Linked DNA regions of Oreochromis niloticus. The protein of the gene in region 2 binds, or shares a complex with, the protein of the main gene of each other region. Links are inferred from orthologs where the notes say so. Each region holds a gene or a part of one and is shown on either strand. Other genes may lie near its edges.

The links.
Region 1: the proteins of tln1 (region 2) and apbb1ip are in contact, whole or in part, in a crystal structure (PDB 4W8P), measured with the Mus musculus proteins. The link is inferred for Oreochromis niloticus from reciprocal best matches to the Homo sapiens genes TLN1 and APBB1IP. Residues at the interface, in NP_035732.2 of Mus musculus: Leu1492, Ala1495, Thr1496, Val1498, Ala1499, Thr1502, Ser1503, Cys1506, Asn1507, Arg1510, Val1526, Ala1529, Lys1530, Ala1533, Asn1534, Thr1536, Ala1537, Val1540, Ile1543, Lys1544, Asp1547; in NP_062329.2 of Mus musculus: Asn5, Ile8, Asp9, Met11, Phe12, Thr14, Leu15, Glu18, Met19, Leu21, Leu22, Ser25.

Annotation. Positions count from the first base shown.
Region 1 is NC_031974.2:12,461,779-12,478,506, reverse strand, and holds the start of apbb1ip (amyloid beta A4 precursor protein-binding family B member 1-interacting protein), read right to left. Parts: upstream 8,011-16,728; 5' UTR 7,814-8,010; intron 1,299-7,813; coding exon 1,239-1,298; intron 198-1,238; coding exon 110-197; intron 1-109. Other genes in the region: uncharacterized protein nell3, read left to right, coding at 11,708-12,350, 12,941-13,500, 13,829-13,895, 14,080-15,611. UniProt on the Homo sapiens protein: Appears to function in the signal transduction from Ras activation to actin cytoskeletal remodeling. Suppresses insulin-induced promoter activities through AP1 and SRE. Mediates Rap1-induced adhesion.
Region 2 is NC_031972.2:10,400,194-10,413,811, reverse strand, and holds the start of tln1 (talin-1), read left to right. Parts: upstream 1-5,923; 5' UTR 5,924-6,741; intron 6,742-13,618. UniProt on the Homo sapiens protein: High molecular weight cytoskeletal protein concentrated at regions of cell-matrix and cell-cell contacts. Involved in connections of major cytoskeletal structures to the plasma membrane.

The DNA.
Region 1 (16,728 bases), on a different chromosome or scaffold from region 2:
GCACACGATACATCCCACCCTTGCACAACTCGGGTGTTGACACTGCACAAAAGCTCAACGCCCAGCTCTTTGTAGTGTTTCCACACATAATGTCAAAATGTGAAGTCACCATTCAGGTCAGTGAAGCCGATGGAGTAGTTGACTTCCTTCTTTGTGCTGGATAGAGCTTCAGGGGGCACCGTTTCCTCTCCAAGACTCTGAGACAAAGAATGAAGAAAGCAGTGTGGTTGTAAGAACGCAAACACAATTTCTGCACAGCCAAAATACTTCCCCACCCCCCACCACAGAGGAGCACACTTTTGTGTTTGAGCGCTCTGATACCAACATTATGACAGAGGACAGAGTTGTATTTTTTTTCTTTTGGGGGCTAAAAGTGAGAGTGTACCCACTGTATGAACAATATGACACCCCATCTTGGAAGAACTGAGATGGAAAACATTAAAGTGATCGGCGGGGTTTTTTACTAAGAGGGAAAAAAAAGGCGTAATCTTTACTCGGTTGGGTTTTGCCATTTAACCCACCCTTCCAGAAAAGGGTGGTATTTATGGTTCTTAGATGACCACAAAGTGTGTTTCGTCCCAGTCATGAGCGTCTCAGTTAAGGATGGTGGGTTTTTGTTACTTTGTCATCTTCTCTGAAAAAGAAAAGTATCTCTAAGTCTTAGGCGAGATAATTGATCACGGGCAGCTTGAACAAAAAAATGTATTTTTGTCTATTTGCTGCATGAACATTGAGATTTATGCCTTTCATTAACAGAAAATGCGGTAGTGGCACAAGCTCCTCTGCTACTTTATATTGGTATTATATTAAATCCTGTCATGTTTAATACATTCTATACAATATAATTTAAATATATTTAAATTTAAATAGAGAAAAAGAGATGAAAAAATGACACCCGCTTATTTCAGATATTGGAAACTGGAGGATAAAAGAAGCAGAAAAATGTATCTTCAGGGTGTGCCTGGATACGCGTCATCCACTCCTTCTTTCCTCTTTCAGTTCTTGGTTTTGTCTTTGTTTTATTTTGTTGTCACAGCTACAACGTGTCGATTTTGTAAAGTGCTGTACACACCAGAACAGACAGGAGCAATCACATTATTCACCCAACCGAAAATTAACTACATATTCAGTGTTTGTTTTTTGAAAAGATGGCTCTAAGGGTATTTTGTGCTATAAAGCAACAAGAATAGAATAAGTATATATAAAAATATATAAGCAAACAATGGCTGGTAAGTCACCTGGGTGAGGAGGTCCATCTCCCCCAGCATGGCGCTGAACATGGCGTCAATGTCGTCCATCTGGTGAAAGAATCAACAGTAGAATCAGATATAGAAATTATCATTATTTCCAATGTGACAAAATATAATCTTTATAATATGTATTAATGGGCTGCACTGATTAATGAAGATGAAAGAGACGGTATGTCCATTTGCATGGGTAAAAGCAAGTGCAGGCAGTGAGTGCTGATACAGTGCTACTACTTTACTGTGAAGTATTTGCAGATGTAATATGTTTCCCCAGGTTATGATATATTGCGAAACATGTCCAACCCAGACTTGAAGGAACAAAGTGTGTATGCATAACTGCAGGCAGTCATTATTTGCCAGAACTTGTTGTCTCTTGTTGGAGCAAGTCAGTGAAGCAGTGAGTAAATATTATGTTGCCTTTTCTGTCATATTCAGAGTTGACTTTTTTAAGCTGTCAGCTGTGTTCTTTAGTAATCTGGATTTTAAAACCACCAATATGATGATTTTAACTTCTTTTAAATGCCATCTTCCAGCTGTTTTGCTTTAGATTGCTACACAGATGCCAAATTAAACCAGTCCCAGCTTTTTTTAAGGGAAGCAGTCGGTCTCGTGTACTGAAATCATGCTTCGTGTTGTATGATGAGTGTTTGTTTGAATCGTTATACGAAGAAGAAGAAAAACTGCCTGCAACATACCGATGCCTAAGGAAAGTGGAAGAGCATAAAGTATGCAAGCTTCCATAATGTGCTTAGCTCGAAATTGCTCTAAACTGCTGATCAAGTTTCAAAATGGACTCATACATCAGGCTGGTACAGATTTATATACATCCCCGATGTGGATGCATGAAGCGAATTGTCAGCATAATGAAGGTTATGTTTTTCATTTTAAGCAGAGTAATAGCCCGAGGAGCCACCGTGGTCACTGTGCCTTTTTGAAAACTACTCCGAAGGCCTCGCTTGAGATTTACATTCGTAATTATGCACAGTAGGCCGTCTCCCCTGCACGTATTATTTGAAGCCTCTTTTCTCAAAGCAAATGTTATGATGGTCTGGAATGTGCAGTCAAAACAGTCCCTGTTTTCTTATGCTGGTACATGAGTGGTACCACAGAAACACTGAAGGTGTCAATGGGAGTTCATCCAGTTAAAGTGGTGCTAATGGTAGCTTACTTTATACTGGTTACATGTGGACTCTCCTAACTCTTCTGCTCCCAGTATAGCATGTTTCTGATAACAACAGCTGTACCACAAATTAAGTGCACCCCATAAGTCAGTGAATTATAGAACCACCTTTTCTATAATCTAATAACTTTACGTTATTAGCAGCAATAATATAACATTATTTTCTGCATGACTTTATCAGTCTCTCATTGATAAAGATGCAACTTTGGCCCACTCTTCTTTACATCATTGCTTCAGTTCTTTGAGTCTGAGGACACTCATTTATGCACAGCTCGTCTCACCGCAGCATTTCCATCGGGTTGAGGTCTGGACTTTGACTGGGCCTTTGCAACACCTTGATTCTTTTCTTTTTCAGCCATTCTGTTGTAGATTTGATGCTGTGCTCTGGATCTTTGTCCTATTTCATGACCGGATTCGAGCCAAGCGTCATGTGTCGGACAGATGGCCTCACACACTCGATCATACTTCTGTATACAGAGTGGTTTGTTCAGATGCAAATTTTCTAAACTAAACAGTGCTGCCATGCTGTTTTTAGATAGAACAGGCTTTCTCCTGGAAACCCCTGCAAACAAGTCTTTTGCTAACTTATGCTAACTGACATGCTAACTGTGGTAGAGTCTGAGGTGTAGCTATTTTTGGAGTTTGTCTGAGTATTGCATGATCTGACATCAGGGTGATGGTTTGCTGGGAAGATTATTTAAAAGATCCCCTTGTGAATAATCTTTCTCACTGTAGATTGCTGGACTTCAGAGTGTGTGGATATGGTCTTGTAACCTTTCACAGGACAATTAAACAACTGCTTCTTTAAGATGACCGTTGATGTCTTTTTTCCATTGGCATTGCATTAACACAAACCTGAATAGTCCAGATCTGCTTTTATAGACGTGCTCACACTTGCTCATGATCAGTTAATCAAATGCATTTGGTTAGCAGCACCTGGCTGCTACTTATTAAGATAGCGGCAGTGGCCTACTTTTCACATGACTGCAAATATATTTTTACTCAAGGCTTGTTAACATAAGGTATGACTGGGTAACTGCTGAAGCTGTCACTACTAAATTAATTGATTAGAGGAGTTTCGTGACCAGTAAACCATCCGGACTCACTGGTTCCACCTTCTCACGTTCTACTGACCTGAATGCTACAAAATAACAAGAAAACATTTGCTTGTGCCTGATTGTATTACCAGAAAGATTGCAATAAAATATATATTAGTCATGATCCCCAGAGGATTAATCACAGATTTCCATGACTTTTACTACTTATCTATTAAGTATCTACTGAAGAGATTGAAGGGAAAGATATAACTATTCTTGTTTGACATGCAGACTATGCAGTTATTAATTAATTAGAATGAGTCTGAATCTTTAGTACATTTAGCACCATCATCAGGTCAAAAGATCTCACTGGTCAGAACTTGTACATTTGTGAAACAATATAAAAGAAGAATATGTTCAATTAATGCTTTCAGACAGATCTTATCCTTCTAACATTCTGAGATAGAGTGATGATAACAAACACACCCAGCTCATCTAAACATCTCAATGTGAGTCAATGTGAAAAAAACAGCACCACTTTGCATAATGTTTTATAAAGGTTACTCAATATTGTAATCTGACGTCACAACGATGTCAGCATGGTGCAGCGCAGTTACTGACTAACACCTGATTCACTCTTAATATGTTCATGGTCAAAGCAATAAAACAAGTGTGAGCTTTTTTTCTTTAAACGCTTTTTAATCAAGACATCTTACCAGCTAACCCAGGTGTTGCTGGTTTTACTTATTCTGACAGACTGTGATTAACCTGCATAAATATAAGCTTCGGTTCACCTCAGGTCAGTTATAAATTGCTGGGGTTAGTCTCAAGTTTGGTGTGGTTAAACTGATTAAGAAACCGATGAGCTGTACTTGTTTTGTGTCTCAGCCAGATCTCATATTGCAAGAATGCTTAGCATCACACTACCCTATTATGGTGTTTTTTCAGCCTCTGTATGAGTCTTTAGAGGGTGACTAAGCATGACAACGTGTATGAGTCTGTTATGTAATGCATTTTCTTCTTATTTCTGACTGGTTTTGTAAATTAAGCACTAATTAAAAGCGTTTCACGGGGCATGCAAGAGGAAGGCTGGGGGTGGCTGCAATCTCTTTTGTTAAACCACCCCTGATCTAATTTGTTTAACTCATGCAATGAGATTCTCTGCACAGATGTTTGCATTGCCATCCTCTAGTCTTTATGTTTTCTCTGCTGCTGTGGTAGCGTCCATTAGAGAGGAAAATATTGGGCGATTCTGCAGAGTTTAACTCCCTGCTTTCACTCGTCACAGTGTCTGGAATGTGTTTAATGACATTTAGATCCAACACGAAAAAAATAAATTGCTGGAATTTAATTAAAAGACACAGGAGTACATCTCTCATTGACACTGTGTAGGAGACAAGAGTGACTGATTGTGTTCCAGGAAAGAGTTTATACAGGATCAATACTGTTTCAAACATCTAACAGATGCTGCGTGTTGGAAGCTCACGAGAAACTGTTAATCTTCTGGTGTCATATATCAAATCGCACGGCTCATAAACTGAAACGCCTCTGCGCACTGATAGAATTTGTTTGCGCACCATAATTTCCACGTGACGTACATATGTGGGGCTCACTGCTATAGCACGTGAGCGCAATCCTCCACCTTTTACACAAACGGTTTACCCCCAGGAGGAAGTGGTAACTGGTAAACTTCCTGGAACTTGCAATGTTGAAATGGTATCGGAAATGGTGACACAAGCAGCTGCCTGCAAATTTCATGGTACTGTTTCCTCAGTTCTCATTATGTCACTTTTTTTCACCTATACGTGGTCGGCATAAGACGTTTCGAGTAAAAGAACGCACCATCTCTGAACGTCTGGTGCTACCTTTTGTCAGTAGTTTTAAAGTCACTGAAAGAGAAGTTTAGTCAGTCGATCAGATTTTGCTGGGAGGCTGTGTTTTGACACCAAATGCATGAAATGAACCGCTCCCAGATTAGCAAGGAGAAGTGAGAAGCGGCAGGAACAGACCGTGAAAACAAGACGGCTTCCGCTGGTGAAAACAAATTGACCCAATTTTAAGACACTCCCTCAGTGCCTTAGACATGTGCATTAGTGGAGTGATATCTCAGACACAACGTGAGAAATGGACTTCTTCTGTGCTATTTGTAGGTGTGATCCTGCACCTGATATACAGATAAAGGTGTTAACCTCAGAGTCATTGCAACGCCACTAGTATGATTATGGGTGGACTAATTAGGTTTACTCAAATGTGACCTTAAGGACGGGGGATTCTGAAGCTTGAAGGTTTCCTAGCTTTGTTCAAAGGTGACCAAATCCACCTTTGAAATTTAACTTTTTTTTAAGAGAAACTAATGAATATAATGTACTCATGACTTTATATTTTCAAGCTTTAGGGGATGAGTTTGGTGTACTTTGGCAGAGCTTACCTAGCTACAGTAGCTGTTTGTGAATTGTAAAACAAGCAATTTGTCAAACACAATGTTGACACGTTGTGAAATATACCCAACTTTAGCATCTACTTTACTATAAATGGAAACATAATGAATAAAGTCAGTGTTGTATTATATTAAATGAGGCTTTAAAGCGTAACATTTTGCAACCAGAGGAGTCGCCCCCTGGTGGCTACGAGAACAAATACGTTTTAGATCTGATTATTTGTACAGTCTGTGGAGTATCAATCGACTATTCTCAGAAAACACAAAAAATCCTACATTTGACCAAATACTCAATAATACCTCACAAGGAAACGGCCATGATTAAAGCACCGTTTAAAATCAGACTTTTAAAGGATTTTTAAAGAAATCTGGCCAAAGATTTTATCATCAGTAACCGGAAAAAACTGGAAACTCGACAGCTGAAGACCAGAACAACTAAACTATTCAAAGTCACCCCAGTGTCCTGTTCATGAATGAGTAATAGCTCTACAAAGAAACCAAACTAATAACACCAGGAATTTTTCCTCTGCAAGCTCTGTAGCTTTATGTGCCTTTCAATATATCAATTTACCGCAACAGAGTTCATGTTTGTGAACTTCTAGTCACATTTTCACACTTTCGATTCACAAAACTGTGTCACTGTCTCTTCACACTTTTCACTATTCTATTGTCAGACAAGGGGCATTTGTGACCAATCGGCGTCCTTAAATGTTATTGTTGGGCATCAAATGAGCGCATTGTGAAAAGTGGCAACTGTACTGTTGTACTTTTTATAATAAAAAACAGCAAATCTAAAAGCACCTTATAGCTTATAGCTTCTGCATTCCTCTAGAACACCCCCCTCCCCCCTTCCCTCCCCCAATAATCTCAAATATATGTCTCAGCCTTTTACATGCCACACATATGTAGCTCCAGGGTAGAAAATCAAAAGCAGACATCAACTCCAGTGTTTACCATAACATACAGAAACTCTCCCTCTTATGATCAGATCATATTTCCGTGCTTGGCTCTTAAGCAGATGTGTTTACAGGACTTGACTTGACTTTTTGCAAAGTAGGCAAATTAGAGGTTGAGTAGCAGGCACAAACCACTGAAGAGTATGAAAATGAATAATCAGAACCCTAATGTTTGCCGAAGCAGGTTTCAAATCAGACTCAAACCTGCTACAATCAGTACCCTTAACAAAATGTCTTGCTTAACATCTCTAAGAAACAGCAAACACCCCCTCGACTAAAAGCCTTTTAATCCGTCGCTCTGAAAGCAACGCGTTCAGTTATACTCATAACAAATTCACTTCATATTTTTGTGACATGATTTAACGTCAAAAATGCCAAAAGCCAAATATACAAAATGTTCCCGTCATCAACAACAAACTGACAGCACTATTAACTTTAATATAAGAGGCCAGCCCTATTAGTTTCATGTGGTTATTGAGTCATACAGCACTATGAGACGATAGCGGGGTCCACCCAGTTGGAAAGATATGAACTTACATTCTTTTCACCAAATTAAAACATTTATTTATTTATTTCATGGGGAAAAAAAATCTTCTAATAACAGTTTTCTTTAATTTCTCGTACTATTAAATTTAAAACCTTTTGAGAGTTTTTATCAGAGCGCGCTGTAACTCACAAACTTTGACAGGATGTCTAAGATTATCATCTGCAACATATCTCTACATAGCGTTCTCAAGCTAAATTATTCTGCTGTAGCTGAATATACATATATTACAAACAAATCTCTCATTTATTTTTTGTTTGTTTTTCAGCACAACAGCGACCACAATCCTCACTTGTAATGTGCTCAAACATCAATGAACAATGTTCTTGCTCTGCGTTCAGAGGAAAGCAGCTTCGGTTGTTACCGTTATATCCAAAGACACAACATCCAAGTTAACAGAGATGAAACTCACCTTTTTAAAATGTGTTAATCCTTTGTTTCGCCACTAAGTTTCAAGATAACAGCTTCATGGACATCAGTTCCACTTCGAAAAACTAGTCTCTAATTAAGCTTGACACCAAAAATTAATATCACATGCAGGCAGATTTTGGGCGTGCGAGTGGATTGAAGATTGCATTTGTCTGACTGTTGGCTTCTTCCTGCTTAATGCGGAAGTTCAGGTCTAGACCTGTCATTGCATTCCTACTACAGAGTTCAGCACTTTCACAACACTCTTGTCTGGGCAGCGTTGATCCATCCCCTCCTTAACAGTGCTCCTTATCTGCACTGTACTGTAACTGTGCCAACGGGGGCAGAGAGGGAGAAATCATAAATGTGTTGTGGCTTCTCACCAAGACTTCGAGGGTGACTGACAGCCACTCGAGCAGATTGGGAAGTTTTTTTTTATTGAAAGAAAAAAGAAATGCTTCAGTTGGATCGAGAGAAAGGCTGAATCAGCGGGAGGAATGTGACGGGTCTTGGTTAATAATTCACCTCGCTGAAACTGATTTACAGCAAGTCTGTAGACAGGAGTGGCATGCTGTAGTGGTGAAAGACACTTCAGCTGGGCTTTACTTGTCTAAATTCTTGTGAGAAAATACACTCGCCTAAATGAAGCGCATTATTTGCTGTACAACCTCTAACACACCTCATAAATGTAAGCAGAGTACACTAGAATACATTAATTTACATGAAATCTTAGCTTCTACAGTTAAAATCAGGAAGAATTGTCTTAGGGTAATGGTGTGGTGCAACAAATTCAGTTATCTTTAGGAGGAACCAAAGAGAGTTAAACTGTCAAACTATGAATAGCCTCTGGCTCTGTTATCTGACCGTGCAGACACAGATAGCTGTATTTATTTGCATTTCTCCTTGAGTCATCTTGGGAGGCCAAAAACAAGATTTCTGATCTCTTTTTTTATCCTCTTTCCACCTTAAAGGGAATTCACATACAATATAAAAAAATGAATACAAAATTATGCCTAACAGAACAAATTATCTTCATTTTTACTAATATTGACACTTCTAGGTCCCATTTCCCCTCAAGACCAGCCTGAGCCACGACAGCAAAGACAGACCACCACTGTGGCAAAATCCCGTCATCATATGGTAAAGCTGAGCACCACAGGGAGAAATCAAATAACCTTGAATGCTTCCAAGAGTCTTTCATGACTCGTGATGTATTAAACAAACACCCTGGGTACAAGCATGTGTCCCAACCACCCTCATTTCCTCATTCTCTCAGGGTTTGACAAACAGATGGACACCAAAGGCAGCCTCCCATTAGCTCTAAACATCTCCCAAACACAAGCACGCCGGTGCCTCGGAGAAGATTTCTCAAATAAATACACTGATTAACGGTTGTGGAGCTCGGCAGCAGAGAGCGAGGTGATTTTTTTGTCTGCTCCGCCGTGCGTTTGCGCTCTCTCCTCGGAGACTGAGGGTGGTCCAGGAGAGCTGATTCTGATAATGGTTTTTGCCAGCATATGTTGCAGCTCATACATCACAGCACCGAGCCAAGAAGCTGAACGAGATTGTTATTTTTTAGTTATTTAATCAAACTGTGCGCTTAAAGGGGGGATCTGCAGTGTCGAGCCTTGAGTTCTACTGCACAAAGAAAAGTCTGTTGGCTTGAAAGTTGCAGAACTGCATATGGTAAGGTGTGAGGTGTGGAGCATTCTTTTTAGCCATTAGTTTGCATTCTGAGCGCTCCAACACACCTCGAGATACATTTCTTGTGCCTGGGCACTAAAAGGAAATGGGGTGATAATGACAAAACCAGTGGGCACCTTGCAAAACGATATGTAGTGCTGCAGAGGAGAAACCGTCACTGAGATGATGTGAAAAGTGATGCGTACAGGAGTCTTTTAGTGCCCTCTGTTTGTTCTTTGCTGTACTGTACATGCCAAACATGACTGAAATCAGTGGGAGGTGTAAACCTGCCAACCTGCAGTTATTTTCCCCACTCCCTCTTTGTGGTGCAATAATCAACACCGCAAGTTTGCACCGGGATAACAAGCAACTGCTAGCTGGATGTTTTTGAATGTATATGCAAGAACATACAAATGGATTCCTGATACAGCCCTCCTTGTTCTGCTTGGCTGAATTTATTTGCCATCTGAGGCCAATAAATGAGTACAATGAGGTTTGCTATTGTTAACATGGGCTAGGATGACTGCTGTGACTGGCTGAGTCGAAAATGTGAGCAAAAACGCCCAATATGTGACATGGAAAGACAAAATTAAAAGAGAAAAAGCCTTGATTATGTTATAATAAAATCATAAGATACATTTTTACCAGCATTAAACTGTTTAATTGTACAGTGTGATGTCTTTAATCAAATTTACACTGCTGTGTGTTATAGAATACAAGCTTTACAGTAAATTACTGCCATTTGATTGGCCGTCATTAGTGAGTAAGTTAGTAACCTTTCGTCTTTACTTTGAAGATGAAAAGTTGCACTCTGGACGCAGCTACTTGTCTTTCTTGAGTTCTGCCTCGCCTCAGCTCCTCACCTCTTTGCACCAGATGGGTACAGGAAATCTTTTGGATTCAACATTTTTAACAGCCACCCTGAATAGAAACGGTGGCTGGATGTGATTAATCGCTACAGGAGCCTCATTCATGGTGGCCCCTTTCCTTTGCTAAACCCTAACTCTGCTGTCAGTCACACAAACACTGGAAACCACATCCACACAAACATGTCCACAACAATCAAAGTCTTAACCCAAAATAACACCTCAGAAACCCTGAAACAATAATCGCAAAATGTATAAATGAGTGATGTAAACTAAAACATGGACATTTCTACGAGTCTGTACCCATGATGCTGTAAAATATCCAGCATTCTGCTTTAAATATTCCGAAATTTGGCTAAATCTTGAGTTATTCAGTTAAATATGATCATACAACTTTTGAATCTATTCATTTGGCTCCTGAACCTTTGAATAAGACAGTAATATCAGAACTGCTTAACTAATCACATCCATGCAAACATCATCCTCAGATAACCTTATGTGCTTGTGCAGAAGCACTAAAAACAAAAAAAGGAGAGGAATTGGGAGCGAGTCCAAAACCCAGATGTGTTTTTCACATTCCTGACTTCTGCCATAGGTCTCTTCAACAAAAGTTTGACCTCTGCTCGCTTTGTCTATAAAAAGGGTTGACAAGGCCAGTGCTGAAGCACGGAGGACGCTGGGTCGAGGACCAGCAGCTGTCTCAACATTCAGGGTGTGCTAAACAAAAAGTACTGTATGTTTTTGCAACTCAGAGGGCCACAGGGTCAAAGAAAAGTCAACAGTGAGCAAAGTGAAAAGATGAGTTACAATTAAAATGCATGTCATTTTTTTTCCCTTTTGTTTATTTGTTTCAGGTTGAAATTAGGGATGTTTCAGTTTCAGGCATCAAAAATGTTATTTTATTCTTGTTCTTTCAAAACCTTTTACTTCAGAGGGGAACTCAAGGGAGAGGAGAGGGTGAAGGGTTAATTTGTAGCTGGGGAAACCTGATGCTAATTAAGTCTCAGGAATGCCACATACACTGACATTGTAGTGCCGAAGCCCTCAGAGTGGGTCAGGCATGGAGAGAGACGGCAGTAATGCGTGAGTCCAGTGTTTTTACTCCTTTGTGACGGTCGGGAAAAGCCAGCCTCACCAAACCCCGGAGCTGAAGGTAATGTGCACAGATGAGCTGCCAAGTCTGTAAAGTTTGTTTCAGTTGTGTGAGAGGTGGCTTTAATCAAGAAGGAGATCAGTGATGGCTTGAGTTATCACCTTTGAGATCTTTTCCTCCAGGTTTTCCATTTGGGACTCTTACCTCGCGTTTCCTTCTTTTGCAGGCAGAGTAAGCCCACATATTAGATGCGAAAATGCTTTTACTGACATCTCTGCTGTTGCTGCAACTCTCCTGGGTATCGCTGCACAACGCCGCGCAAGCTGTAGCGGAGATTTGCCGGGGGACGCACTGCTATGGCGGAGACACCGGTGATCCAAGACCGTGCACCGGGGCGCACTGTCCGGGGAGCCGATCTTCCAGACCCCCGCGGCAGTTTAACCCGTCAACGCAGGGGAAAACGGCTCATGTAGCCGCCAGCCAACACCGCGTGTACCCGAGCTCTCCAAGAGCGGCATCGGAGACTTTTCCAGGCGCCCAGCTGCTACTGCGCGGGCGGCACAGCGACGGCAGCACTCGGAGGAGTGCGCCTGAAGTTTTACCTGCAGGATGCACCGATGCGGAGTGCGCTGTTCATGTGAAACAATTTCAACCCAGCAATGACACCCGAGACTGTAAAGGGATCGAGTGCAGACTGCCACTGAGGATACGGCCAAAAGCTCGAGCAGTGGCTTGTGTGGGAGAAGGATGTCTGGCCGGTTCAGAGGAGAGCGTGCCTCCTGTACATCTGTCGGACAGAGCCTCGCAGTTTCTGGGGGATTTTCCGGAGTTTGAATATCCATCGTCGGAACTTGGCGCAGCGCCTTTAGGTGTCCAGCTCACATGTGATATCAAGCCAGGTCTGCTATGTTCATCAAAATTCTCATCCAGCATTCAAATCAAGAACGTTTTTATTTATTTTACATTATATTATAAGCTCCTGCATGCCAGGAACAAAAAAAAATATCCAGACTGTGCACATTGTGACTCTTGACAATTTCCTTAAAAGTGACATGTCATTACTAAAAGCTGTGCGTCTATAAATAACACAAATGCATGCTACTCTTTACTGACTTACAATCTCTCACCAATAATCAACACAAGAGTGTTCTGGAGACAAAGGACAACTTTGTTGACCTTCAGCCTCCCCCCACAAAAAGGAAAGAAAGAAAAGAAAAGATACCTGCAGGGCAAAGAGTAGCTGGACTGGAAAAATGTCTCAGAGTCAATTGCCCAGAAAATTTTGAATGCTTTGATGTGGCTCCATACAGGAAGCTTTTAGTAGGCTACACTTGCCTGTGGCTGGCTATGCAGCTGGAGTCACAGGCTGTTCACACTTACTGTCAGCACTGTTTGGAGAAGTCACACCTCAGTACAAGGCTTAACAACATCTAATCGATTTCTTCTCCCTGTTTTTCTTTCCCTTCACTGTGCATTTATTTCATGACAGGAGAGAATGAAGTTCCTTCAGAAGATGCCCTCATCTTGCACCTCCAGCTGTCCAAGGGGCAGGAGAAGCTTGTGGAGGCCCTGAGAGCCCAGCAGATTATCATCCGCGATCTGCAGCAGAAGCTCGCTGACCAACAGGAGGCCCTGCTGTCGCAGCAGCGTGAGATCCTGCAGCAGCAGCAGCGAATGTATGAGCAAATGGATGTGGTGAAGGCCCAGTACGGTCTTCTCTCAGACACCTTCAAACAGGTTTCCTTCCAGGGCCTGAAGGGCGAGCTGCAGAGCTACTTCGAGAGCCAGCTGGCTGGACTGCAAAGCCAAGCCCGCAGCCACCTGCAGAAATCCTACGCCGTCCACAAAGTGGACATCAACTCTAAGGTGATGGATGTGGTCGGGGAGGCTCACTTTCCTCAGCCTCTCCTGGGATGCCCTTCACCCTGTGGATCAGAGGAGTACTGTGACTTTCAAAAGGACCCACCTCGGTGTGAAAAGTGCACCATGTGTCCACCAGGTTTCTTCCTCGTCTCGCAGTGCTCTCCAACTGCGGACAGAATGTGCCAGGTATGCCGTCATCCGATGTGTTGAAACAAACCGAGAGCAAAACAGGAAAAAAATGGAAACAAACAAAAAAAAAGTGTGAAGCGGTTTTAGCTAGTTGAGGTTTCACGTGGTGGTTTCCAGTTAGTGGTTTCCAAGCGTATGCCAGCATACGCCAAAATCCAAACATAGCTGATGTGGAGGTGAGAATGTTTATACTTTTGAGCCTAGATCGCTCATCTCATTTATTTCCTGATCAAGTTTAAATGCTTCACAGAATGCATCAGTTAAACCCAGTTATTGTTGTACAGGATACACTCATGGTGATGCTTTTAATTTTCATGACTTGCAGGACAGAGACGAATGCCTTGAATTACCAAATATTTGTGGAGAGCGAGTGAAGTGCCTTAATACTCCAGGTGAGTTTGCAATGCTTATTTTGCTGATAATTAATGAGTCTTTATTCCTTATTTTTTCTCTGTTATAAAAACTTTTTCCACCACTTTATCTAAAACTTTATTTGCACTGAGAAAACAGCCACACTTTACTGAGCTATGTGTCTATGCAGCTGTCAGAGCCTGTTTGGGCCTTTTTATTTTGCAGGGGGATTCAGGTGTCTGGGCATTTCTGAGAGAGACGCAATAATGGGCTTGTGCGGTCATGAATATTTCTACAACCAGGAGCTGCAGGAGTGCCAAGCCTGCTCTGACTGTGATGGAGAGCCTGTCACCGTTCCCTGTACAGCAGTCAGTGACGCCATCTGTGGCCAGCTTTCGGAGACCCGGCTCTCTGAGTCTTGGATGGCGAATGTGGCAGTTCCCCCCGCCAGGTCATCTGGCACCCACATCTTTCCTGGGCTTCAGCTAAACATACGAAGCAAAGAAAAAAGCGATTTGCTGTCCAACCAGTTGGGCCAGTTGACCTTCCAGCAGCACGGGCTGGTGTGGTTGGATCATAACTTTGCAATTAAGCACAGTTGCAGGAACTTCCTCCAGTTGGGGATGAGGCTAAATGGGAGCCAGGAAGAGGAGGGTAAGGACCTCAGCGGTGTTCGCATCGAACAACCGGATGGGAAGTATTTCCAGGGGGTCAGCGTCAGTACCGGGGTGGAGGTGGAGCCTAACCACACCTTCACACTGCTGTTGAGGAGTCCAAATCAACACTGCAATCAGAGCAAAGATCTTCACGTGTACGATGCCGCAGGGCCCTCTTTGAGTCTGCTCTGGTTGTCTCATGATACTGGTGCTGTAGCTATGACAGCTCAGATGTCCCTGCTGATGCACTACCAGACCAGCTACCGCCCAACTTTCCGCATAACCTCAGTTTCAGACCCCTACATGATCAGCCTGACTCATGACAACCGTGGGGTGCGCTTCACCGAGCGCGGAGTGGTCAAGTTTGTCCTTCAGCAAGCGTTTTACTCCATGGGGCACACCTGCATTCGAGAGGGTTTCTCCTTGATTGCCTATATTAACCGCAACGGAACCGGCCAAGAGGTGATGCAGAATTTTAAGACTGGTGTTAATTACAGGGACACTTCCATTACACTCTCTGGTGCTGTGAGCGTGGACAGTGGAGACATGCTCAACTTCGAGATCACATCCCCGTCTCAGTGCAACGTCCGCTATTTTGGGGACAGCACTGGAATCAGTATTTTGAGTCTCATCTGGATTCCTTCAGCAGTGTCGTCAGCCTTTACAGCGACTGTGTCCAGGACCGGTCTTCCCTTTGGAGCGGTGAGGAATAAACCTCTATTGTTCCAGCAGATCAGCCCAGATACACCGCAGGTCCACTTGGCCCGCTCTGGGGAGCCAAACAGCCGGAAGAACTTTATATTCCGCGAGAAAGGAACAGTGAACATAGCTCTCAACCTCAAGCTGATCCACTCTTGTAATATAGTTAAACTCACTCTGCAGCGGGTAGGGGGTCAGGGCAAGCAGGCTGGTCCTGTGGCTCAGCAGGTGTCAGGATCTATGCCTGAAGGAAGCGAGTGGGCCAGTGTAGGGCTGAGAGCCTCATTTCAGGTCCAGAATGGCACGGCTCTGTACGTCACGCTGGACTGCATCCGTGGACGAATTAACCAGATAGCACACGAGGGCGGCACTAACATTTCAATTCTCTGGGTGGCAGTGTGATCCAAGAAGGGGCTGAGCTTTTCTCATCAGTACATTTTGTGGAAAAAGACAGTTTTGCACATGTTGAATTGCAGAGCAGTTTCAAAATTCACCAAAGGACGAATACGGGCTGATAAAATGTAGTCTTCTTTTCCACATATCCTGTCACATTATCTTTAATGTATATTTCTGCACCTGTATAGACGTTTATGATTACTTTTTTTGTAGGGTGTAACACTTAGATGCTAAAAGTACTGCTTTTTGCTTGAAGTACTTCGGCTGGTTGAGCAGTGACCAATTCTACATCAAATGTCTGAATGTGTGAGTGTGTGTGTGTGTGTCTGTATGTGTAAATGGTGTGCATACTTGGAAATGGTGCTTATGTATGTCTGTGCGTATGTACACACACATTGGCATGTCTACTTTTGCATATGAATCATTTAATATGTATATATTAATACTTAACATCCATATTGTATTAAACCTTTTTGTATTGAATTATGAGGTTGTTAAAGCAGTATTTTAACATTTTGGGAAATGCAGTGAACCATTTTCTGGAGGACAGTTTCATGAGTGGACCAGTGCAAACCTAGTGATTAGTTAGCACAAAAACTGCAAACAGGGGAAACAGGTGACCTGGTTTTAGCCAATAGTATGGAAATTTATTAGCATCTCTAATACAAATCAGCATTTAACCCAAGGAACATTCCCTGCTTCATCCATCTGTGTCTACAAGGCATAACCTTATTATATTCAGTAGTGATTCCAGTTAGTGTAGTTCTTTGAAGTCCAGCTGAAGCACGTGTAGTTGCATTTGTAGTTTATCTCTTGTAGTGTAATGTCTCTGTGGACTAGCCGAAAAGCAGATCCACACAGAACCTTGCATTCAGTGTCTAATAACAAAATTTATAGAATTCATACACAATATGTCTGTGTAGGTTCTCAGTCGTCGAGGTCATGGTAGTCTTAAGTGCTTGAAGTGAACTAGCTCATGAATGAGGTTTTACCTGTCATCCATTATCTCTATCTGTAACAAGTTAGTGATGGGGGGTTCAGCAGCCCGTAGGACCACAACTGCAGCAGTTAAATATCTGTGACTCTCCATCAGTTTTTAGAACCGACTAAGCCACTTGGATGA
Region 2 (13,618 bases):
AAAATTCACACAATAATCTTGTCAACAAAAAGATCAGGTGAGATTAAGAGATTTATGATGTTTGTCAACAACAATCTCAGAGCGGCAGCTCCACCTGGTGGTAGATAACATTTAGAAGATAACAATTTACTGATATTTGGCATCAATTGAAAACAATTACATTAAACAACTAGTACATCTGGTACCAACTAGTGACAGTAGTGACAATTACTCCTGTAGTTGTCTAGTCATGCACATCCCTATACACTATATTGCCAAAGGTATTTGTTTGTCTGCCTTCACATGCATATGAATTTAAGTGACATCCCATTCTTAATCCATCTAGTTTAAAGTAATGTCAGTCCACTCTTTGTGGCAGAAACCCCCATTAGACACTTCCCTTTCCAGAATTGCATTCTTGAGGTCAGACACTGCTGTTGGGGGAGAAGGCCTGGCTCATAATCACCTCTTTAATTCATCCCAAAGGTGTTCTATAGGTTTGAGATCAGGACTCAGTCAAGTTCTTTGACATCAAATTCCCTCATCCATGTCTTTATGGACCTTGCTTTGTACACTGGTGTGCAGTCATGTTGGAACAGGAAGAGGCACTCCCCAAACTGGTCTCGAAAAGTTGGGAGCATCAAATTGTCCAAAATGTCTTGGATGCTGAATTATTAAGAGTTCATCTCATTAGAACTAAGGAGCTGAGCCCCTCCTGAAAAACAACCCCACACCATAATCCCCAATCCACTAAACTTTACACTCGGCCCATTGCAGTGAGACAAAAAAAGTTCTTTTTGGCAACAGCCAAACCCAGACTTGTCCATTGAATTGCCAAACAGAGAGTTGTTATTCGTAACTGGAGAGAAGACGTCTCAACTGCTCTAACAAATGATCTGCTTCACATTGCGCTTGGTGGTGAAAGGGTTGGATGAGTTTTCATCCAGGGAAATGCGTTCCATGAAGCTCTTTGCACATTGTCCTTGAGCTAATTTCCACAGGAAGTTTGGAGGTGTTGACTCTGCAGAATGTTGCAAACTCTGCACCTCAGCATCCTCAGATTTTCACACGGCGTACCACTTGGTGGCTGTCATTCCTAATCACTTCCACTTTGTTATAATACCACTAAGGGCGTACTGTGGAATGTGAAAGAAATTGACAAATGGACTTGATTCCACTAGTGGCATCCTATCACACTACCACACTGGAATTCACTGAGCTCCTTAGAACGGCCCATCATTTCCCAAATGCATGTAGAAGCAGTCTGCATGCCTAGGTGCTTTATACACCTGTGTCTATGGAGGTGATTGGAACAGCTGAATTCAGTGATTTGGATGGGTGAGTGAGTACTTTTGGCAATATAGTTTACTTCTGAGCCAAAGTGATTGTCATCTCAGATTTACACTGGTCAGATGGTTCTTTTTCACAGTGTAAATGCAAACAAACAAGCAGTGGTCTGAAGGAACCATTTGGCTTCCTGAAAAGTGTTCCTGGGCACTTGGATGGATGACGGTTTATGTAAAACATAAATGTGGAGTTATCAGCATTCTCTCTGCATGTCTTGGTGTACCTAGACAAGATACTGAAGCCCTTTTGCCCATCTACGAAAGAATCCTCCTGCACATGCAGCATTGCTTCTCCCATATAATCAGAGTGATCTAACCTGTTAAAATTCAACATATGGGCAGTAATGAATTTTTTCATGATGTTGATTATGTTTTCTTCTTTCAGCACATCCCAAGTCCAGTAAAGAAGATGCCTCGTATGCCTGCAGCCACGGCTGGATCTGAAAGAGCCGTCAGCAACTGAAAGTACTCTGCACCTACTCGGAGAGTTATAAAGTTCCAGCAGTTTGGAAACTATGCGAGACAATAGAGATCAGATGAATAGCAACAGAAAGTGCTGTGTCGTGCAAAATTATGATTAAATCTCCATTAGTGGAGGACTACAAACAGTCCCCTTGTCTTCATGTGTTACTGCAGGACAGTAAACCTGAGCAGAGTCTGTTATCACAATATTTTATTTTAGTTATCCTTTATTTCAACTTTTATATTTCATGAACAGCTATATTTGGGAGAACCATAAACAGACATAGACATAGCATGATTGATTCTGACAGCTGCCAACCAGTGATGATGTGACTTCAGGTTTTTCTCTAATGAAAAAAACCCCCCGCAGAGTATGCTTCACCTGTTTTTATGATTTAAAATTGTACTGCTGTCACAGCATATGATGGAGGTGCTACCCGTATTCTGCTGGTTGTATTAATTACATCAGTTTTCTATTTATAAAGTCGTTGACTTTACAATGTCACTTGGTCATCATAAACCAGAACAGTTGAACACGAGGCAAAATGATGCTATATAAAGAGGAGCTTTTTCCAGTAGGCAAATGGTGTGTTGTCTTTAAACTTCTGATTCCGGGAGCCAAATATCTAAAACCCAATGTAAATCTGTAAAAAGAAAAAAAAAAAAGAGAGAAAAACGAAAATATGCACTGTAGCATACTGTATACTTTGTAACACATACCTGGTTTTATTTTGTTGAGACACCAATCAATTTATTGAGGGGTTATTGTAAGAAAATGTTTAATAGTGTTAAACATTTCACTGATAAATAAATCAAAAATATCAAACTGTCTCTGGCTTGTAATTTTCCATTTTTCAAAGAACTTTCTGTGAATTTGAGAAACTGGTCAGACAAGAAAAGGCATGTTCTTGGACAGAGGGAACTTTAGCTGAAACTTCATATTTGCAGTCTAATTCATTAAACTGGGTAATGTCATTGGTTGCATTCTCATTCATTGTCATTTTCTAAACCACTGTTCACTTACAGAATTAAATAGTTAGCAAGTCATTTATTGCCTCAACATGTACACAAACAGTTCAGTCTATTACAGAAACCAAAAAGGGGAAAGAAGATTATTTAAAAATGTTGTCATGGAAACATTATAGCCAGTACCTGCAAGGTTGTCTTCTTGTGATGTGGCCCTTTGTAAGAAATCTGAATTTTACATTCATCCAATCTAATCAGTGTTTCAAGGGAAAAAATATAGGTACCGTACAGACAGCTGCTAGAAATCCTTTGTAAACCCTCTGGAATTTGAGTAATTTGTCCTATGATTCTTGAAAGCCCAGTCTGATCTTGTAATTAAATTCAGTAGTTAAATTTACACAAATTTACACATGTACTTTTAGGTCTCTGTTGCAAACAGTGCAAGCAGAAAGCAGCCAAACAATTTCATTTCAGTAACTTGTAGTTTGACAACCTCTTAGAAGCAGGAACCTCCATCAGAAATTTCCTGTAGCTGCTTGTCATGGAAGAATCCTTTATTATTCCTGTAGAATGAGGGTGACTACATACATACATTAGATTGGCATAATTTGAATAAATTGAGTGAATGTGTGTGTGAATGGGTGGATGACTGGTTGTGTAAAGCGCTTTGGGGTCCTTAGGGACTAGTAAAAGCGCTATACAAATACAGGCCATTTGCCATAAATTTACCATCCTCATATTTGTCATCATTTGACTATTTATATAGCAAAGTGATTGAGAAATTGAACATAAAGTGGTGTAACAAAAAAGGGTTTACCTTCCTGATTTCCTCTTTTTTTATGTTTGTTACACTGAAATATTTCAGATCAAACACATTTAAATATTAGACAAAGATAACACAAGGAAACAGAAAATGCAGTTTCTATATGAAGGTGTTTATTATTAAGGGGAAAATAAATCCAAAGCTAAATGACCCAATGTGAAAAAACTATTGCCCCCTTGATCTAATAACTGGTCGGGCAACCTTTAGCACCAACAACTGGAATCAAGCGCTTGTGATTCTTTCCCAGCACTGTGAGGGAATTTTGCCCCACTCATCTTTGCAGAATTGTTGTAATTCAGCCACATTGGAGAGCTTTTCAGCATGAACTGCCTTTTAAAGGTCATGCCACAGCATCTCAATATGATTTAGGTAGTGACTTTGACTGGGCCACTCCAGTCTTCATTTTGGTTTTTTTTAAGTCATTCAGTAGTGGACTTGCTGATGCATTTTAGATCTTTGTCCTGCTTCAGATCCCAAGTGCGCTTCAGTTTGAGGTCATGAACAGATGGATGGACATTCTTCTTCAGGATGTTTTGGTAGACAGCAGAATTCATGGTTTCATTTACCACAGCAGGTCTTCCAGGTCCTGAGGCAGCAAAATGGCACCATCACACTACCCCCACCATATTTTACTGTTGGTATGATTTTTCCTTTTTGAAGTGTTACTTGTGTTACTTTTATGCCAAATGTAATGGACACATACCTTCCAAAAGGTTCAACTTTTGTCTTGTCAGTCCATGAAATTTCTCATAATTAGGTTAGTTATCAGAATTGGATTGTTGTGGGCAGCACAGTGGTGCTGTGGTTAGCACTGTTGCGGGCAGCATGGTGGTGCTGTGGTTAGCGCTGTTGCCTCACAGCAGGAAGGTCCTGAGTTTAATTCCACCATCAGGCCAGGGTCTTTCTGTGTGGAGTTTGCATCCCTGTGTTTGTGTCAGTTCTCTCCGGGTGCTCCAGCTTCCTCCCACAGTCCAAAGGCTTGTAGTGATGGGTGTGAATGGTTCTCAGTCTCTGTTAGCCCTGTGACATACAGGCGACCTGTCCAGGGTATACCCCGCATTTTGCCCTAGGACAGGCTCGAGCTGAGATAGACTGATTAACTAAAAGACTAAAATCATCTTAAGTTAAGTTCAGATTAAAATGCAAACACACTGTTATCCTGTTCTAATAAGTGGAAACACCTAATGTTTTCCTGACTCATATATACTTCACACTACAGAAAACAATGTGTCTTCCTCTTTAATGCTCTTTAATAGATTAAAGAATTCGTGATTATGATTTTGCAAGGATCACAAATAAACGGAAAGTGGGATTTATTGCGCATCATTTCTGTGGCATTAAATTTAGAATAGATTCAACAATGCTGTTGGCTATTAGAGGCTTTCAGTAATCTAGTTTTTGATTAGATTCTAAATTGCCAATATTTCCTGGATTTTTTTCAAATAATAAGGAGAATTATTATATTTTAAATCCTCTAACTACTAACTGCAACACTGTAGTTGAATTGTCAGCTAATTATTAAGCTGTTAAACTAACTCTACTCACTCGTGATGTTGAGTGTGCATGGTAACAATGCTAATGTAATTGTTTTTACATGTGTAAATAGCTTTTAATTAACATAAAACATATGCAGAAATATACAAGATCTTAGGTTACTTAAAGCAGTAAAACTGCAATAAAATGATGGAAAATGTCTATGTTTTTACACAACGGTAATTTTCTGTTATTTCTGTACATCTATCCAAAGTAATATACCATAAAAGAACACAAAATATTTGTTTCAGTGGCAAAATAGATGACTAATTTGTTTTAGTAAGTTGCTTATTTGACAGAAGAAATAGCCATCTATCCATTTTCCTTCACTGATTTTAAATAACATTTCACTAAACTTAATTCGCAAAAAGGCTATGCCACTACTACTTGCTTTGCAGAGTTGCATACTGAAGCATTTAATATGTATTCAGAATCTGTTTTTACAGTTCCCATCTTTTTAATTAATATTAATTTGCAGAACATTTGTATTAAAAATAGCTTGAACATTAGAGATGTCTTGCAATAATCACAGAAAATATACCTTTCCCTAAAAACAGCAAATTAATATTGAGTGACCATTGACACTGACTGAATAATATAACATAATATAATATTATAATACTATAATAACATAATAATAATAAAGAGACAAAAGAAATGTGTTTAATATGTGATTAAGATTTATTTAAAGAAAAATAATCTTACTTTTATTATTGTAAAACTACAGGGACAAAACTAAAGTTTTTATTTGAAATCTTATTTTTTAACTGAAAATTTATATATCCTTGCAGATGGTGAGAAAGTAATCCCGGTAAGTCACAGGTTCAAGAGCTTTGTAAGACAGGGAATGACAAGTAAGAAAGCCACCTTAGACTTCAATGTTATTTTGTTATTATTGTTTGTATTGCAGATAGTAGCTTTTTAAAAACTTTAAAAAAAATTAATCAAAGAGAACATTAAAAAGAGGGCTACAGAAGAGAAACACTGGATTTCGGTTCCGTCACTGTCAGTGATGACAGCCGGATGCGAGCAGTGTTCAGACCAAAGAAAAAGTAAGATAAGTTGAAGTTTCATGGAGCTGCCACTTTTACCGTTATGTGGCCCCAGCGTTTCGTGCACAAACCAGCTTTATAATACGACGATGTTGACACTTCTGACACACCCACCGAACCAGCCTGGGCAACTTCAAATGCAGCTGGCCAACGTTTGAAGGAAACATGTCTGTCTACCCGGAAACCCTAGCAAAGCAGATCTGAACGTCCCCGCGGTCTCCTCCAGCACAGTCCGTGGCATTAAGAGTCAAATTAAGTTGATTTAGTATTGAAAACAAGACAGACAGAGTTCGGAAACAAAATAGAAGAGTATGAAAACACGCTCAGTGTTATTCGTCTGCTGCAGAACAGTACCCGAACTCTACACCGCCCCTCTGTGCGTCGACGCGCTGAGCCAGGGTGGAGTTTTTCGCAAGCCGCTGCCGAGGGATAGGGAGAGGAACTGAGAAAAAGTCGTCTTCTGGCCTTTCCCCTGGTGGAAAACTTTATTTGTTGTCGGGAGTTAATTTAAGGATCGTTAAATCAGCTCTGTTTTTCCGTGTTTGAGTGGCCGTCGACGAGAGTGGATTAACGCGCCCAGGTCAGACTGAATGTTTCTAACTTTGAAAAGTTTCTAGCTTTTTTCTTCGTTTTTTTTTAAAAACGCGAAGTCCCTGACGTCACCACAGACTCGACATGGAAGCGAGACAGATTAGTAAACGTATGCAGACTTGGGCCTTCTAATGTAGAGAGCGGATAAACGGTAGTGTATATGATAACCCAGAAGTTAAATCACACAAATGGGAGACGAATCGAAAGTATCAAGCGCCAAAAGACAGACCACCTCTCTCTCTCTCACACACACGCACACACATCTGAATTTTCTGTGTGCCATGTCGCTGTCCTCTCATGCTTCCCTACAATACGCGCATTTTGATGAGATGTGTATAAGTTACCTTTGTACTATGAAACTGTTTTAGTGTCAAAGTTAAAAGGAGTTAGCAGCTGTATTGTTCCCCTTTTGACCTACAGCATGCAAGTTCAGTTCATCACAGTCATTTTGTAGGCCGCTCATAAGTGTCCTGGGCGTGTTATGCAGCTGTTAGAACAAGAAAAAATATCGCCTCTGGGTGTAAATTCTTACACCGCTGTGATGTGTTGTGCAACACAATGAAGGCATTTGGATGCAGATATGTCTACTAACCATCGAGCAATAAAGGAAAAAACAAAGGGTACTTTCTACAGGCTGAAGGACGGCCTGTTGAAACTAGCCTGGAAGAATTAAGAGCTGTACATTTTTAGACAGGCTCACCTAAAATGAGTAAATAAATAAACTAAAAACCGAACAAAAGCATTTTTGTCTCTGTTAAATTGCTTATTACATTAATTGATTAAAAGAATGTTATAAAAATTAATAACTGCTTGATTTTGTATTTAAACTTGTATCTCATTAGATTTTTACATCTTTACATTTTGATATTCTATTATTCTATGTTTTTATATCATGCTGCTGTGACACAGTAATTTCCCAAATTTTGGGATAAATAAACACTTATCATTCACTGAAAATTAATGTCTTCAGTAAATGTTTCACCTTCTTTTTGAACTTGTAAAGATCAGCCTGTGTTCATTAAATAAGGAGTTTTGTTACATGTTAGGTAACTATCTGACACTAGAACACATATAAGGGAACAGTTAATATATGCACAAGATGGCATGCTCTCAGTGGACTGCACATTTTCAACCACAACCACAGCTAAAATAAATAAGTAAAAATCTAACTATTTTAAGGGGAGGCGGGGGAGCAAGAGATAAAGATAGAGAATCATGAGGTCTTACAAAAGTAAGAACAAAACGTAAACTGGAACTAAAAAGAAATCCAATAATCCAGTTTATTGTGATGTGCTGTCTTTGCCTTCCTGAGTGTTGTGTTTCTTTTTAGCTGAACAGATTCTTTGTTAGTTGATGTAGTCTTATATGTCTTGTGTGTGTGTGGATTTTTTTCATTAACCAGCTTCACATGTGTAGCTGAAGCTAACTTTTAACTGCCAAGCCACTATGCATGTAATACACTGGTGAAGCACTGTGATCTGGGCTGTAGAGAAATGAAGAAAGGCCTCCAGTATTCAAGGTTCAGGCCATGCTGTGTAGTAATCTGAGCTAATCTACCAGCCATACAAAATTCAGGTAACAGAGTAAAATCCCATTTTGGTAGTTGTATCATGGACTATTCTCACACCAGTTAAGGAAACCTGCTTCCATTCCAATGTGTTGCCGTGGTTGGAGTGTAGTGTTTTAACTCAGCCATATTTGGTCAAGACAACATGTGCAGCCACTAGTCCACAAGAAATCATTTGTTTTAGACATGAGCCAATTCCCATGGCTGTGTGAGATGCCTGGGGAGTTCAGTCACACCAATGAGGAGACTGGAAGAAAATACAGCTCTTACTTAATTTCAAAATCATACAAAACCCTAATGTTGTTGGGTGGTTTATGATTAAATGAAATGCGTATAAAGAATAGAAAGAAACAGATCTTATCTTGTGATAGCATCACACTAACTGTAATACTGGCTGGTATTATGCCAAATTTTCAAAAATTTGATACATCAGAAACATTAATCCATGTATGGAGAATGGGCTCCAGGTGAATTCTAAGTTTTACATATGAGAACATAATAAAACAATTATTAGGTCCTTACCAGGTGCTGAAATTATGTAAATAAAACTTGATGAACACATGACATACAATGTCATTATTTATTTTGGAAAAAAAACTAAGCAAAAATAGGTGTGTAACGCAATGCTAAAACATCATCAGTGATCTTAGAGAAACTACCACCACTCGGGGAATGGTTTTAAAGCCATTTTTAGAAAGACTATTCCCATGTGGAAAACATTCAAGACAGCTCCCAATCTTCCTAAGAGTCAATGTCCTAGTAAATTCAACTCATGGGTAGAGTCTGCACTGTTTAGAGAAAATGCAAAAAACACAAGAGCTACATCTCAGTCTTTACAGGCCTCAGTATGTTAAAATAAGGAAGAAATTGAACATGTATGGCTTGTTTGGAAGGGCTGCCAAGACCCTTTTCTCTCTAAAAGGAATGACAGCATGGCTTAGGTTTGCATCTCATCCAGCCACAAGACTTATGGAACAATGTCATTCCGACAGACAAAACCAAAATTGAGATGTGTGTCCACAATGAACAGCACCACGTTTGGAGAAAACCAAATACATGGTATCAGGATCTCACCAACTGTTAAGCGTGGTAGAAGGGGGTGATGGTTTGAGCTTGTTTTCCAGCCACAACACCTGGCCACTTCACATTCATATTCAAAAAAGAAAAAACACATGTGTTTTAAAATTAACTACTCATTGGTTTCCCTTTTAGAAATTACGTTTTAATGTCAGCCCTGCATCAGACTGGTGACTGGTTTCTTAAACATTAAGAGGAGTGTGTTCATGTGTAAGGACCTGGTCTACGTAGGCCGGGTCCTTCGAAGGATGCGGCCCCTGAATTTGGACACAGCCTGTGTGTTTAAATGTGCAATGAGTGAGTATGTTGTTGCTGCAATTAAGAAAAGTGAGCATATCCTCATTCACAGAATTAGGGATATTCCTGCTGATTAATTTCTTGGTCAACAAATAAATAAATAATTAATTTTTTATTTATTTATATAGCACCTTTCAAGACAGAATCACAAAGTGCTGCACATAAGATTACAAGTCATAAAAAGATTTAAAAGAGAAAATAAAACGGGCAAAAAATTAACCAAAAGCAGTTTTAAAAAGGTAAGTTTTGAGTTGTTTTTTAAAAACAGCTACTGAGTCCGCAGTTCTTAATGCTTGGGGGAGAGAGTTCCACAGTGTAGGGGCCACAGTGGCAAAAAAAAAAAAATTGTCTAACCTGCAAGTGTGATCTACCCACATGTGTCTACATGTCTTCAGGATAGCTGCAGTGGCATACACACTCTGAATAGTTTATGTGATGCCTTTAGTCGAGCTGTGTTAACTTCTGCAAACATCTGTTCTGGTGGGACTTTGACAGTAAGTTGGAGAGTTGCCTCCTTGATTGTATGGTTGTGTTGAGTCTGCTCAGCTCAGTGAAAGCATCTGTCATTACTAGTGTTGGATATTTGTTTCAAAATAGCATCATCCTGATAGAAGTAGATTGGGGTGATGCCCTTTTGTCTACACTGCTCAGTGCACTTCCCATAGAACTGGACTGTCCAAGTCCAGGGCTCAAGGGCCAGTGTCCTGCAGGTTTAGATGTGTCCTTTATCCAGCACAGCTGATTTAAATTGCCTTCTCAACATGTGTTGAAGTTCTCCAGAGGCCTGTTAATGAACTAATCATTTGATGTTTTTTGACCCAGGGTGATATCTAAAACCTGCAGGACACCGCCCCTTTTCAATTCAGTTTAATTCAATTTTAGTTTTATAGCGCCAAATCACAACAACAGTCGCCTAAAGGCACTTTATATTGTAAGGTAGACCCTACAATAATACATACAGAGAAAAACCCAACAATCAAATGACTCCCTATGAGCAAGCACTTTGGCGACAGTGGGAAGGAAAAACTCCCTTTTAACAGGAAGAAACCTCCGGCAGAACCGCAGCTCAGGGAGGGGCGGCCATCAGTTAGGGTGAGAGAAGGAAGACAGGATAGAAGACATGCTGTGGAAGAGACGGAGATTAATAACAAGTCCGATTTAATGTAGAGAGGTCTATTAACACATAGTGAGTGAAAAAGCTGACTGAAAAGGAAAAACTCAATGCATCATGGGAGTCCCCCAGCAGCCTATGTCTATTGCAGCATAACTAAGGGAGGATTCAGGCTCACCTGATCCAGCCCTAACTATATGCTTTAGCAAAAAGGAATGTTTTAAGCCTAATCTTAAAAGTAGAGATAGTGTCTGTCTCCCGAATCCAAACTGGAAGCTGGTTCCATAGAAGAGGGGCCTGAAAACTGAAGGTTCTGCCTCCTACTTTTAAATACTCTAGGATCAACAAGTAAGCCTGCAGTGCGAGAGCGAAGTGCTTTAATGGGGTCGTATGGTACTACAAGGTCACTAAGATAAGATGGGGCCGGATTATTTAAGACCTTGTATGTGAGGAGTAGGATTTTGAATTCAATTCTGGATTTAACAGGGCGCCAATGAAGGGAACCCAATACAGGAGAAATATGCTCTCTCTTTCTAGTCCCTATCAGTACTCTTGTTGCAGCATTTTGAGGCCTCCTTGAGGGCTTGAGTTGGACACCCCTGACATAGAAGCTTATTTCTATGGATGTTAGTATGTCTTGGTCAGTGTGGATGCTGGGCATTTTGTACTATCAGGGTAACCTAAAACTAAGTTTCAGGTGGGAGTTTCTAAAGTGCTTTTGGCATATTATTAGGAAGGGATCACTATTCATCGCAGTGGTAGGGTTCTTGATTGATACAGAACAGACAAGATGCTGTCCAAAACCACATTTTTGAAAATCCTTTCAGAGGGGTTAGTTTGTTTTTAACTTTCTAGAACAAATCCCAATTTTGATGCCGAAGGAAAAAAGGAAACTTTACCCTAGATCAGATCAGATCAGATCATGAATAGGTGAGTTCAAATGAGCTGCCTAAATACAGGAAAGCTAGTTGGGACACCTCACTTACTCAAGAATGAGTAGCTGCCTATGACACAAGAGCATGGGAACCATTGATTGCCTTTCGAACGACCTTCCAGTGATAGATGTGGAAACAGGAGAGGTACAAGTCGAGTCAGTCTGTCCACTTGCAGTGCTGGGCAGCTGAGTTTCCATGGGGCTTTGGAGCAGGGAAGCTTCAGTCATTTCAGCCACCCAGCTATTTAACAGAACTTCTTCATCTGTATAATCCTATAATCCTTAATGCAACCTAAGTCTAGGTTGAAAACCAGAGGCGACCGTGCCTTTGCTATTGTAGCTCCTAGACTGTGGAACAACCTCCCTATTGCCATTCGCTCTTCTGAGACTGTTCAGTCTTTTAAATCTCGTTTAAAGACCCATCTTTTTACTCTGGCTTTGATGTAAGATAGTTTGATTATCATTTGGTTGGTTTCTATGTTTGTCTCGTCTTGCGTTGTATTTGTCTTATTTTATTTATTTATTTTCATAATTTGTGAAGCACTTTGATCAAAACTGTTGTTTTTAAATGTGCTATATAAATAAATTTTGATTGATTGATTGATTGACCCAGTGTTGTACCTTATCATCTTGGAAAGGCTAGAGCATTGAATGGCTAGGAGCATAAGACCACATAACCAGTCTAAAAAGGCACTACTTTCAGTATAGTCTTTTTAAGATACCAACTAAGAGCTCTCTTCGATTCACCATGAAGACAGATTAGAGTAAATGATAAAATCATAAAATTCCCCAGCAAACAAAGTAGCATCTGGGTTCATACTGGCCAGATCTTACTGTAAAAATCAGGAAGAGAACCCAATGCAGGATACACATAGGCAGAGTAAAAACCACTCTGGGAGGGTGTAGGCAAAAGGCAAAGTCCATAGAGCTGTCCAAAAGGAAATGAGACGTTCACAAGGGAAAATAACAAAATCATGAGGAATGCTGGGAAGCTTGACTAAGCAAGTTTACCAGATGACAAGTGGTTAGTGCAAAGCTGGAGCTGTATATACTAAGACCAGTGGCTAACTGGAAACAGGTGTGGTAGTGCAACAAAGCAAAGGCCGGAAGTATAACTAAGTTAAGTGTAAGACATACAGAAATTTCAAAATAAAACAGGAAGTAACCAGATATACAGTTGGTGAGATTAATCAGCATGAGGTATACAATCAAGGATGGAAAACTAATGCAGGAAGTAAAATTGACAACGATTTATGATTTACACAGGAAAATAACAAACACATGCGGTTTACAAGTAAGGCACAGGTGGTATTCACAAGTGGACAGATATTAGTTGAACTTGCGAATTGTTATTAACTTATAATATTTCTCCTATTCTTTATTTCATTTTTAAAGTTCTCTGTACTTTTTTATATGTTTAAAATTGCTAACAGGCATAAGGCATAATTCTTACACCTGGCATTGTTCAGCTTGGGCCATGAAGTGCATCTTTAATCCGTTTGATCACAAACATTATCCCACACCGTCTAATCTGGAAGTTTTCACATTAAACTGTGCCAGTGTCATCAACATTGCTGCTGTTGTGTTATCAGTGTTTCTGTTTAGAACTGGGGGCTGTGGGCTAATGTTGTCACACTTTTTATTTACACTTTTTATTCACTGCTCCTAAAAACGTTTGTATTTTTTGGTCAGTTTTTAGAAATTTAACAAATGCGGGTGAAAAACTCAGGTATATATTGTTTAACACATCTGCACGCTACAGAGCCGTGGATTAAATGAAGCATCGAAGCAAAGAATTTGTGTCGAGAATTTTTTGTAATTGACTTATTCGAATTACTTGATTAATCGTTGCAGCTGTAATATAAACTTTAGGTAAATTC